Tribolium castaneum: one gene and its partners. The protein of the gene in region 1 binds, or shares a complex with, the protein of each later gene. Links are inferred from orthologs where the notes say so. Each region holds a gene or a part of one and is shown in the gene's direction. Other genes may lie near its edges. The genes, in order: Grip75, gamma-tubulin complex component 2 and nmdyn-D7.

Region 1 (4,346 bases):
GAAAGTCAGAATAATTGCATTTTCTCAAGAAATTTACAATAAAAACTTGGATCAAATGACCATTCCTAGACAATTTTATCATTCATATCGCATTTATGGCTCAAATACCAAGAGCCTTGAGTCATGTTTACAAATTTTTTATTAAGAAAAAAAGGACCTTCTGAGCAACGATGGGATCAGAAAAGTATTGCCTGCTTAAAGTCGTAACAAAAAGGGCTACAGGCCTCAGAAATGGACTTCTGAACGACCCATTCATCATCTCCCATCTGAACATCAGAAGGATCGTCCATTTCTGAGCCCCTAACCTTGGTCTATGTTCATCGAACCCGTTTCAGGAGTGTGTCGAAACACTTGGCGCCACCTATTTCCCCAAAAAGCAATCACTTACCAGTGGAAAAATTGCTCAATGACAGAAAAAAATGTAGAAAATAATATTTTTTTACGTAAAAAAACTGCTTTAAGTTAAGACACGTACGGATAATTGCCGACTGTCGATGTTGTAGGGGTGCACTGTGGCGGTGGTTCTCGGCACCGTCCCTTGGGGCTGCGGCATATTGTGGTCTTTGCTTCCTGGTGATAATGACGGCGTTGGTACGTTGCTCAAGGAACCCCCTTGCCTGTGAAAAGCGGGTTAGAACCAAGGGGGCGACCGAACGCTGCCAACTCACTGTTGAATACTTTTGTACAAGTCTCTGATTTTCTGATGAATCGGATGCGATCGCACTCTAAGGAGCTCTAAAGCCCTCTGTTGAAGCTCGGTTTTTCTTCCTGACTTATTCCGTCCAGCAAAACCCAATAGCATCTGCAGTTCGGACACCCGAAACGTAATTAGCATATTCTTGAACAAAAACAAAGATCAATTAACGCGCTCAAGGGGGCCCTGGCAACTGAACAATGCAAGAAATTAACGCACGATAAGCTGAAACAATGTGCAACTATCGGCCAATTACACAAACACCAACATGGTTAGGTGGAAAGGGGGCGCTTACCCGCAACTCATCTATGTTTTCTGACATTTCCTGTGGCTGATCCAGTTTGAGATCTCCTCTAACGTCACTTCAACCATTTAAACAAATGAATAACACGGCTTTTTGTCAAACATCAAGTGAGCTAGCGTCCGATCGTCAATTCAAAGCCTACCCAATAGGGCGGTTTCAGGGGGTTAAAAGAACGCCCCACGCACTTCTGGCACACAGATTTGGGCTATTTTTCGTGGCGTCACTTCGAAATGCACGATTTTTGCCAAAATAACAAACCAACAAACGATTTCACATAAGGGACTGCGCGCTGCCAACACTACAGCGCGAAAGCGAAAAGCACCAACACAAAAGTTCAAATCTACGACAAGAGAAAACAATCGCAAATAATTTAGTTACTCCAACTGTTGTTAATTCAAATTGTTATCGTTTCGAAGCAACATTATCAAAACACATTGGACACTTTTGGAAATTTATAGAAAAAAAAATGTTTTGGGTGCCACCACACAAAACTAAATATTTCTAACAATGAAAAATTTGGTGGGCAGGTTGGCAGCAATTTGCTAATTCAAAAATTGATGTTTTGAGGTTAAATAATTTTATTGGTGGTAAAAAAGGCCATAATGATTCACGAGATACTGATTAACTTGTTGCACAATTCGGACGATTCGGTATTTGTGACCGCTTTGTGGAGCCCCCTTGCAATTGTTTGTTCCAGTTGGGCAAACTTGACGAACTCCAGGAGTTCCTGCACCCGGGGGAGAAGCAACTCCTCCACCACATCATGGAAATATCCTCAAACCACAACTGGATCGTCTCATTTTGCAAAAAAATCCAGAACTGTAGTGTTGACCAACACGGTCTCTACATCAAGGCTTTTGTGAACGGTGTGCTTGATGTTTTGGGGGATTACAAGAGCGAAATTGTCAGACTGGAAGATCAGTTCTTGCAAAACCCCGAGCTCCAGTTAATTTTCATTTCAAGTTGCTTGGAAAAGTACCAAGTATTGTTCAATGTGATTATGTCGATTATTCAAGTCGTGGAGAAGGACAGGCTCCATGGGTGCCTCCTTATGGGGCGGCTCCACAAATACATCTACTGTGGCGTGGAACCTATAACCCAAGCTGCGAAAAAGTGAAATCCCACCCTTGAAAAACCACTTAAATGCGGTTTTCTTACAGGATAACTCACTGCTTCAACAGCATTTTTTACCGCCACTTGTGCAACTGGATCATTTACGGCGACTTGGTCGACCTTTATAAAGAGTTTTTCATCAGCGATGGCGAATGCTGGGACGAGGATTTCCTCTACCCTGAGCAAAACGAAGAAAGCACACTGACACGAGTTGTACGTTGAATTTTTTCGCTAACCGTTTTTTTAACAATTTTTTGCAGAAACACCGAATCAAGCGCCCACCACCTGTCCGCAAATTCACAATAGTCTGGTCTATGGTTCCGATGTTTATCACTGAAGATACGGCCGAAAGCATACTTTTCATGGGCCGAATCGTATGGATCGTCAAAAACCACCAGAAAACCAACACAGATAATTACCAAAACCTACACAAGCCTGACGTTTGGGACGGCAAAGATATAGAGTATTACAAGAAAATTCAAGCGCTCGAGACGCAAATTTTCGACCAGATGGAGTTCCAGAGAGTTATAGAGGAGTGCAGAATCAAGTTAACCAAAGTAAGGATTTTTTTCCACGATTTTTGGTAATAAACTCAATTTTTGTGCCAAAAACAGGAAGATTTCGTTAAAAAAAATATAGCTTTCACTGTACTCGTAATAATGTAGAATTTCTAGTACTTGTGGTCCGTTATGGTGGACGAGGGCGACCTAAAGGAACACTTGCAACTTATACGAGATTACTATGCGCTGGGGCGAGGCGAACTTTTCCACCAATTCATCGAAGCGGCGGAAAATCAAACCACTTCGTACAACCTCAACGTGATTTTCCTGGAAACTGCGCGGAAAATCTACGGAGAGAACGACAAGACGTACCTCAGATTCGAATTAGCTAAACTGGAAAAGACAAGTGGGGGAAACACAATTAATGTCCCCAACTAATTGATTATTTCAGGCGTGAACCCGTGGTCGAAATTACAACTCAATTTCGAAATTAGTTGGCCCCTTCATATCATCTTCAACCCAAAATCGATGGAACTGTACAATCAATTATTCTGCTACTTGTTAAGGCTGAGCAGAACTCAGATCCACTTACACAAGTTGTGGCAAGCGCACATGTCCGGGAAACAAAACATGTGTGTATTAATTAAATAATCAATCGGTTATTGTTAATTTTTGCAAATTTAGTGACCGGCGAGTGTGGACTTTACGCCAGCATTTAATTTTCCTAGTCAATAATCTACAATATTACCTCCAAGTGGACGTGATCGAGGCGCAATTTTCGCTACTTTTGAAAGCGATCGAAAACGCCAACGAATTCGAGGAGATCATCAAAGTCCATCACGAGTTCATCAGCAATTTACTCGCGAAAACTTTCATCCTGACCCCTGATAAAGTAAGTCAAGTCGGTTTTGAAATTACTTTGGTTAGACTGAATTAATTTTGCAGAGCCACACTTATCAAAACAAACACCGGTTACACCAAACTCCCGCCGTTCAGTTTAACGTCCCGAGTGAAGTAATAATTGTTGATTAAGTGTTTAATTGAACAATTAATGGTTTGTTAAAGGTTTACAACGTGATAATCCAGCTGCTGGAGCTGTGTGACAATTTCTGCGTCATTGCGTCGACATGGCAACCGCAGTTAACCGAACCGGAAGTAACCGAGTTTGAACAGTTCCAGAAACGCACCGATACCATCGTCGATTCGCTTTTGTTTATTCTGTACAAGTTACATGAACGAGCCGATGGCCAACACTTGGTCCAGTTGTTGCACCAGCTCGACTTTAATCGCTTTTTCACTCGAAACAAACCCGAGTTTAACCTAACGCAAAGAACGTAATTTATTTTTTCTTCATCACTTTCATAAATAACACCATATCTGGAATAAATTAATTAGGAGGCAAAGTTATTTCATTCGGCGACTTACTAATAAAAACAACCACAACCACAAGTAACATGATCCACATCCAGCATTTCCAGGCCCGTTTCGAGTGCTCGGCCAATTTGTTCGATTCCGCGCTCAGTTTGGAATAGTTTTGGTCGGTTAGTTGCGCCGATCGCGACACAACTTCGGTGTCTTTTTTGATAATTTTATTGGCTAGTTCCGACTGTTCTTTCAAGTTTTTGGTCAAGATGAGCATATCGTCGGTGATTTTCTGTTGCATGTTTTCGTGGAAATTCAAAACTTGGTCTAAGTCGCTCGTTTCGGGGCCTTTGCGGTGCCTCACGCCTGCAAG
Region 2 (2,527 bases), on another chromosome or scaffold:
TGCGTATAAATTTGCAAGCCAAACATTACTCGAGCTAGTTGTGAAGGAAAAGGATCTTTTGGGGAGACTGAGATCCGTCAAACACTATTTTCTCTTAGACCAGGGCGATTTTATCGTAACGTTTCTCACTTTGTGTGAAAAAGAACTGAGTAAAGATGTTGGCGATGTGATTCAAGGGCGCATCGAATCGCTGATGGATCTGGCTTTGAGGCTGTCAAGCGCAGTGAGCGACCCATACAAGGACGATTTAAGGACCGAGCTCTTGCCCTATGATCTGCAATTTCAAATGATGAAAATACTCACAATTCAGACAAATATGGAGCAAGGTGCTTGAGTGTGTTTCTGGATTGGGATTAATTTTGTGTTCCAGACTTTCGGACCGCCTACGAGCGCCAGAAACTTCTCGTTATTGACTCGTTCTCGTTCAGTTACGAAGTGCACTGGCCCTTGTCTTTGATTCTGAACAGAAAATCTCTGGCGTGTTACCAGATGATTTTTAGGCATTTGTTCTATTGCAAGTATGTGGAGAGAATGATTTGCCAAGTTTGGAAGTGCAATAAAGTTGCGAAAAAGTTCCATTTTGACGATGCGCAGCACTATAGGGCCGCCTTTGCTCTGCGACAGAGGATGTTACATTGCGTTCAGAATTTGGAATATCATATGATGGTGGAGGTGATTGAACCTCACTGGTGCTTATTTCTGCAAAAAATTTCCAAAGTAAGATTTTTAAAATAAAAACGGCAAACTAATTCTAATTTTGAAAGGTCAACAACGTCGATGAAATATTGTTTTGCCATCGCGATTTTTTGGATAGCTGTCTGAAGGACTGCATGCTCACAATTCCTCCGATTCTTCGCACGGTTACCAAGCTTTTGGCAATTTGCGTGGATTTCTGTCAATTTATGCAGGTTTGTTAATAATTCTCCCTTAATCACTTTCCTACATTTGATCAATCTCTGAGGTAATTAGAAACGAAAGCTGTGATTTTTTACAAAATTATTGATTCGTGCCCTTGATTTTTTATAGAGGACGCAGAAATACTTTGTGGAAGCTGAACTTGGTTCATTACCAAGTTCTATGTATGAATCATTTCATCAGGTATTTGCTTCTCAGCATGTGGCGCTATTACATAATTAGCGCTTTTCTATAAATTTGTTCAAATTATTGTTGTGTCTATAATAATAATTGATCAGTGACATTTTGTAGCCTTTGTTTTTATACCGAATGATTCAAAAAATTGGTAAACATGTTTTTTGTTTTTGAATCTACGGTATAAAAAATATGAAAGTATTTTTTAAAGATGTTGAATGCTGCATGTCTAGATTTTTGTGTAGTGTGATTATAACATCGCCAATAATTTTTGTGTTGATTTAGAATGAGAAAGCCTTCCAAGACAGTGCAAGCCACGCCTCCACAGCGCCAAGCTTCAAGGAAAGAATTTCTCTATTCGACGTACAATTTTCAGTCGCTTTGGTAAACTTGCTGGATCAGATTAATAATTTAAACAAGGATAGCAGTGAACACGACAGGCTCTTTAATTTGTTATACAGGTAAATATGTTTATTTCGTTCGATTATACTCACCATTGCCTCACCAATTAGTTTAAGAAAAATTTAATTTTCCTTTCCTTTCTTCCTTTCGATGATTTATTTCCCGTATTTTGGTGAGCTTATTTAACAAATCAAATGGATGCAAGTGTTTAATGTATCGTTCTACAGGCTGGACTTCAATTCGTTTTATTCTGGCGATTTAATGAAGAAGGATTTTGGGACCATCACAATTGAATCGTCTGGTTGATTAGCTTAGATGTACAATTTTTTGGTGTAATTTTGATTTACATCTATAAGTTAGGGTTTATGTAGAATATTTATGTTAGCATAGTTAATTAATAAAAAATCAAAACCGCAATTTGTGTTTTTTTAACCTAATAACAATCCTTTTTCACAGCCTTCTGTAAAAGTAAGGCTGTTCCTTGCGCTTAGCTTTTCAAAGGAAATATTTTAAGAAAAATATTTACCCGACTTCGTTTCTTCGTAATCATGAAGTCCTAATCCCCTCATAATTCATTTTCTATACTTATCACTTCGAAACACCATGTTTATCAGTTCTTTGTAAGTCAGAGTTGCATACTTTACGTCATTTGTTATAACACCAAAAGAAACACCCATAATGTAACTGAAATATTATTTTAGCAAATATACGGTTCTAAATTAATCTTATTAGAACAAAGAAGTTCCATATGAAATAAACTCAAATCACTACCCAGTATTTTCTATTGAAAAAAAGATTTGCAAACCAAAGATAAGATACCGTATTTAAATAACATTTAAAAGGACTTATGGACAACAATAGAAAATTTATGCTAAAAAAGAATAGTTAACACAATTAAAATCGAATAAACATAAAAATACCACTACGTATCATTAATTCAGAAGTAACGTAGCTGCTATGAAGTGAAAGAAAAATGAAAGTGCTGTGGGCTATATTCTTTTTCAATTTGGTAAGGGCAAAGAAATTTATAGTAACA
Region 3 (4,289 bases), about 10 Mb from region 1:
ATATAATCAATTCAGAATAGCGGAATTGTATAAATGGCTTTTGGTTTTACTTCTCTGAAATTCACCGCACATATAGATGTCAACAGAAGCTAGGTAGTGTCCATTTATTTCCGGCTAAACCGGAAGTGGTACCTGGACACCACATTATTGTGAAATTTGAATTTTAACGTAATGTAAGCAACAACTTTATTATTTCGAAATTTACAATTGTTTGTACACTATCTAGATCCATTAGTCAGACAAACAAATGTTTCTCTGCTTGAAAATATGAATTCGGAATTCTTCAACGAGTCCTAAAGCGTAAAATTTGTTTTAACACGAGATCAATGTAGTGCATCTTCTGGGAATAATTTCAGGCATTGCCGATTAAATATTTATGTGAAAAAATAGAAATGGAGGTAAATAATTGGGAATAATTTATTAACTTCAGCCTTATTGCTACAATAATAAAATATTTACACATACGATATTGGTCATAATTTAGGTGAAGCTTTTGATGTTACTATTTTTATTTCAAGAATTCAATTAATTTATAGCAGGGCAAGTTTGATGCAAAGAAGTGCAAGAGAAATGAGAACCGTTTATAAATTCTGAAACTAACTTGAAATACTAAAATTGTTTTAATTATTTGAAACAATTTAAAGTAAACGTTATTTTAAAGATTGGAAAGGTCTTCGGCCATTCAATTTACGGTGAAGCATTGTAAAAACCCGCCCTAAATTAAATATCCTAATTAGATTTTGCGTCTATAAAGCCCCGCATTATTTTTAATACACGTTTTAAGTTCAGGAAATGGAATGAAATGCGTTTGATACCAAATAACGCACTTTATCGAAATTCGTTTTTAAATAACTTTTTCAGCAGTCTGAGCGTAAATGGGTTTGGTTTCAGAAGCCGCTGGGGAGCAAATCGAGTCACTTACCGGTACAGATGGTAAATCCAGGTTCCGGAGGCTGGAGTTGGTTGCAAAAGCACAACACGAAGACGACTTCGTATAGCTGGTGGCCTACGTTATATAGCACCTGTGGACGCGGCGGGCGCAGCCACTTTACGCTGCCACTCAGGTTTCGGGGGCGGCTTCAGGTTAGTGCGCCACTGATGAATCGGGTATTTCCCCTGAGAGCGCACTATTTAACGGAAAGATTAGCGATTTTTGCGTGTTGTTTGTCACTGATAGCGTAATTATCATCCAGCCGAGGGAGATTTGTTTGGTTTATAAATCGGAGCTAATCGAAACCTTTTCAATCATTAACGGAAAACATGTTAATAACCGGCGAGTGTGACGGGACCATATGTGGACGCGGTCTTTGTAAATTTCCGAATTTTATCTGATTAATGTACTTTGGGTTGTTTACGAAAAATACGTCTCCTGGCCGCAAATTACCAGCTGCGTTGGTCAACGTGATGGAGGTTTTATCTTTAATCTTGGATTATCTAACTTTTTATTTTTTCCTTCAAATATTCATGTTAAGTAAGTGGGTTTTTTCCCTTTAAATTAATCCACTAAGCCCCAAACGTCGATTTACCCTTTTTAATTGCCGCACTGCTTCTGCTACCCTTTTAACATCAACTTCACTTCTTCTTGAAACACCCTTGTTAAGGCTTTTGTCTAAATGCTTTTCATAAACATTCGGATCCCTCTAAGGCATCGCTTAATCTATTCGATTCTATTGGGTTTTCCTCATTTGACACCGACTTAATCACTGTTGTGTGTGAGCAGAATCTGCATAAACAACCACGCTGTTCTAACGAATTTTTCGACAAATTGCTAGGTAGCTAAAATTGTGATCCCTCTCGTGCGTAATTTGCCATTCGAGAAGTATATGAACTTCATATTTGAACAATTTTTTTGGGGCAGTGGAAATGTCGAATCATCGGTTGAATTTTAAAAAACATAAAAACAATATTTTGTCTCCATTGGAGCGTGTATTATTTACTTCCAGTAGTAAATAATATATTCCTTATTTTGGTGCGACGCAAAATTTAATAAATACTTTTATTATCAATAATTTTTTATAGTGTTGATAATTTTTAATTATAATTGATTAAGGATTTTAGACTTGTTTTTTATTTCTTATTTATAAAATTCATGTTATAAATAAACTGAGAATCACACGTCCAATTTCTACTCCATTCAGTTTTTTAAAGTAATAAAGTAGAAACGGGAGTAATTAATCTAAGTTTGTCTTACTCATTTTCTTGGTAGTAATAAAGTGCAGTAGTCATACCTGAACATAATACGGTTATTGCAGATATTTCCCATATCATCGCTAATTTTTTGATTAATGTATCTTCTGACATACACATCTACTAGAAATTGTTATAATGAACAATTCAAATCAGAAAAGTCTTTATTTGTTTCAACAGATGACACACTAAAATATAATTCCCGCTTAATTAAATGGACAAAACGCTGTATAAATTTGTAATTACGAGCTGTTAACCTCTTGGTATTTTGCTTAGTGGGTCAAAAGTTTTATTTTTATCTAATTAGCCGGAACAGTAAGGAATAGATATGACTGTACTCGTAGAAATGCATTCTTGTGAGTTTAAATGTAATTGCTCTATCTATTTTTAGGTAGCAAGATTAATAATACACGCTTTTTTACCAAGAAATTTTTCTTCTGAATTATCGTGGGCTGACTGCACAAAGTGACCATGTCAGAAATTAAACCTTTTCACGGCAAATTCAGTTTAAACATTAATAAAATACTTTTAATAATGAATTACAGAATAAACTCAAATAAACTAAATCGAAAAAAGAAAACTTTTACTAATTTGCAAAGTTAGAATTGACAAAGAGATTTCAATTTAATAAATTTTCTTTTTTTCAACCGTTTAGCGAATCCGTCTTTGATCGTTTTTTGGGCGTAAACCGTAAGACAGAGAATGACTTACTATTTTTTGTATCAAAATTCTCTACAACTACCTTTTGTACATTTTTCTTGCATCTTTAACCGCATTCCCAGCATTTTGAAAAATATTGTTAAGATTTGTTAATTTTTTTGTTTTTTTTTTATTTTTTAAACTTAAAATACCGAGTTTGAAACCGAGGCGGTCTAACGTGCCCTTGTTTTGAATCCGCTGTACTAAATTTTTCGGTACAGAAAAGTTTTGAACTTCGCTTCCCTCCCTAGTAATTGTTAGTTTTTCACAGATTTGGTCAATTTTTTAGGTATCTCGTAATTCACTCAAGTTTTATAACAATAATTACTGAAGTTAACGATTTGTGCATTTCGTATGTAAATGCAACAATTCGTATGAAATACCATTTCAAATAGTATTCTTTTGAAGCTGAGATTCCTTTGATTGTTTTGATACCGGACATCGATAACTCCCACATAGATTTACGGTGGAATGGAAGATCTGTGTCGAAATATAAAATTCCACTTAATTCTATAAGTATTGAAAAGACAGTCCACAATTTCATTTATAAAAAAAGCAAAGAAAAATGAATATTTTCAGCAGACATCGAAATCAAATTAATGCAAAGATAGTTTCCTGATATTCAAGTGAAGAATCGTATTTAAATAGTAATTAGCTTGTTTGCATATAAATCTCGCATTACATGACGCATTTCTGAAATTTATTATCAGGGGGTTGTAACTCTCCGATTTAAAACTGTAGGTAAAGTTTCATAAATCGTTATTTGTAAAATGTTAGTAGGTTACACATAAGCAGATTACAACAGCTCCAACCCGGAATAAAATAGTAGATAACTTCAGGGCTTATTGAAAGTGAAATATTTTTCCGCCTATAAATAATTTACCACGAAAGAGGGAAGTTTAAATTGCTCTTCTTCGATAAATTTTAAATAACGCAACTAGTATTTCATTTGACGTGTCTGTCACGGCCTTTCACATTCCAGTAAATCCGACAATGTCATCATCGTTCGGCACCGATTACGGTGATAAATTATCGTTCATAGCCGAATGGTTCGACTTCGATTCGGCCTACCAGAAGCGACTGCTCCTGAATTACTACCCCGTCGATAGCACGGTCGAGCTCTACGACATCGACCTCAAGCGCCCCTTCCTCAAGCGCTCCTTCTACGAGTGCATCAGCCGCGACGACGTCTTCGTGGGCAACAAGGTCCGCATCTACGACCGCCAGTTAAAAATCGTCGATTATGCCGATTGCCGCACCAAAACAATCATCGGCAACACGCGCCAGCACACCTTCGGCGTGATCAAAGTCAGCGTCATCGACAAAATCGGCGAGATTTTCAACCAAATCCAGGACCGCCACTTCGAAATCATCAACGTGCGGATGTGCCGCTTGAAGCAGGC

What was found.
Region 2: Grip75 (region 1) and gamma-tubulin complex component 2 share a complex: the UniProt entries of both Homo sapiens proteins name them as parts of the gamma-tubulin ring complex. The link is inferred for Tribolium castaneum from reciprocal best matches to the Homo sapiens genes TUBGCP4 and TUBGCP2.
Region 3: Grip75 (region 1) and nmdyn-D7 share a complex: the UniProt entries of both Homo sapiens proteins name them as parts of the gamma-tubulin ring complex. The link is inferred for Tribolium castaneum from reciprocal best matches to the Homo sapiens genes TUBGCP4 and NME7.

What each region holds. Positions count from the first base shown.
Region 1 is NC_087396.1:21,170,702-21,175,047, forward strand, and holds Grip75 (gamma-tubulin complex component 4), read left to right. Parts: upstream 1-1,462; 5' UTR 1,463-1,600; coding exon 1,601-1,648; intron 1,649-1,695; coding exon 1,696-2,111; intron 2,112-2,158; coding exon 2,159-2,324; intron 2,325-2,371; coding exon 2,372-2,668; intron 2,669-2,785; coding exon 2,786-3,017; intron 3,018-3,062; coding exon 3,063-3,243; intron 3,244-3,295; coding exon 3,296-3,503; intron 3,504-3,556; coding exon 3,557-3,625; intron 3,626-3,676; coding exon 3,677-3,949; 3' UTR 3,950-3,950; coding exon of another isoform or gene 3,951-3,988; 3' UTR 3,989-4,023; downstream 4,024-4,346. Other genes in the region: Su(var)2-10 (E3 SUMO-protein ligase PIAS2), read right to left, coding at 476-617, 669-838, 990-1,016; vesicle transport protein USE1, read right to left, coding at 3,951-3,988, 4,037-4,339. UniProt on the Homo sapiens protein: Component of the gamma-tubulin ring complex (gTuRC) which mediates microtubule nucleation.
Region 2 is NC_087402.1:3,140,432-3,142,958, forward strand, and holds the end of gamma-tubulin complex component 2, read left to right. Parts: coding exon 1-326; intron 327-370; coding exon 371-717; intron 718-764; coding exon 765-908; intron 909-1,026; coding exon 1,027-1,098; intron 1,099-1,374; coding exon 1,375-1,550; intron 1,551-1,583; exon of another isoform or gene 1,584-1,601; coding exon of another isoform or gene 1,602-1,617; exon of another isoform or gene 1,618-1,718; coding exon 1,719-1,797; 3' UTR 1,798-1,908; downstream 1,909-2,527. Other genes in the region: mucin-3B-like, read left to right, coding at 2,465-2,500. UniProt on the Homo sapiens protein: Component of the gamma-tubulin ring complex (gTuRC) which mediates microtubule nucleation.
Region 3 is NC_087396.1:11,132,608-11,136,896, forward strand, and holds the start of nmdyn-D7 (nucleoside diphosphate kinase homolog 7), read left to right. Parts: upstream 1-1,449; 5' UTR 1,450-1,464; coding exon 1,465-1,471; intron 1,472-3,868; coding exon 3,869-4,289. UniProt on the Homo sapiens protein: Possesses an intrinsic kinase activity. Displays 3'-5' exonuclease activity with a preference for single-stranded DNA. Does not seem to have nucleoside diphosphate kinase activity.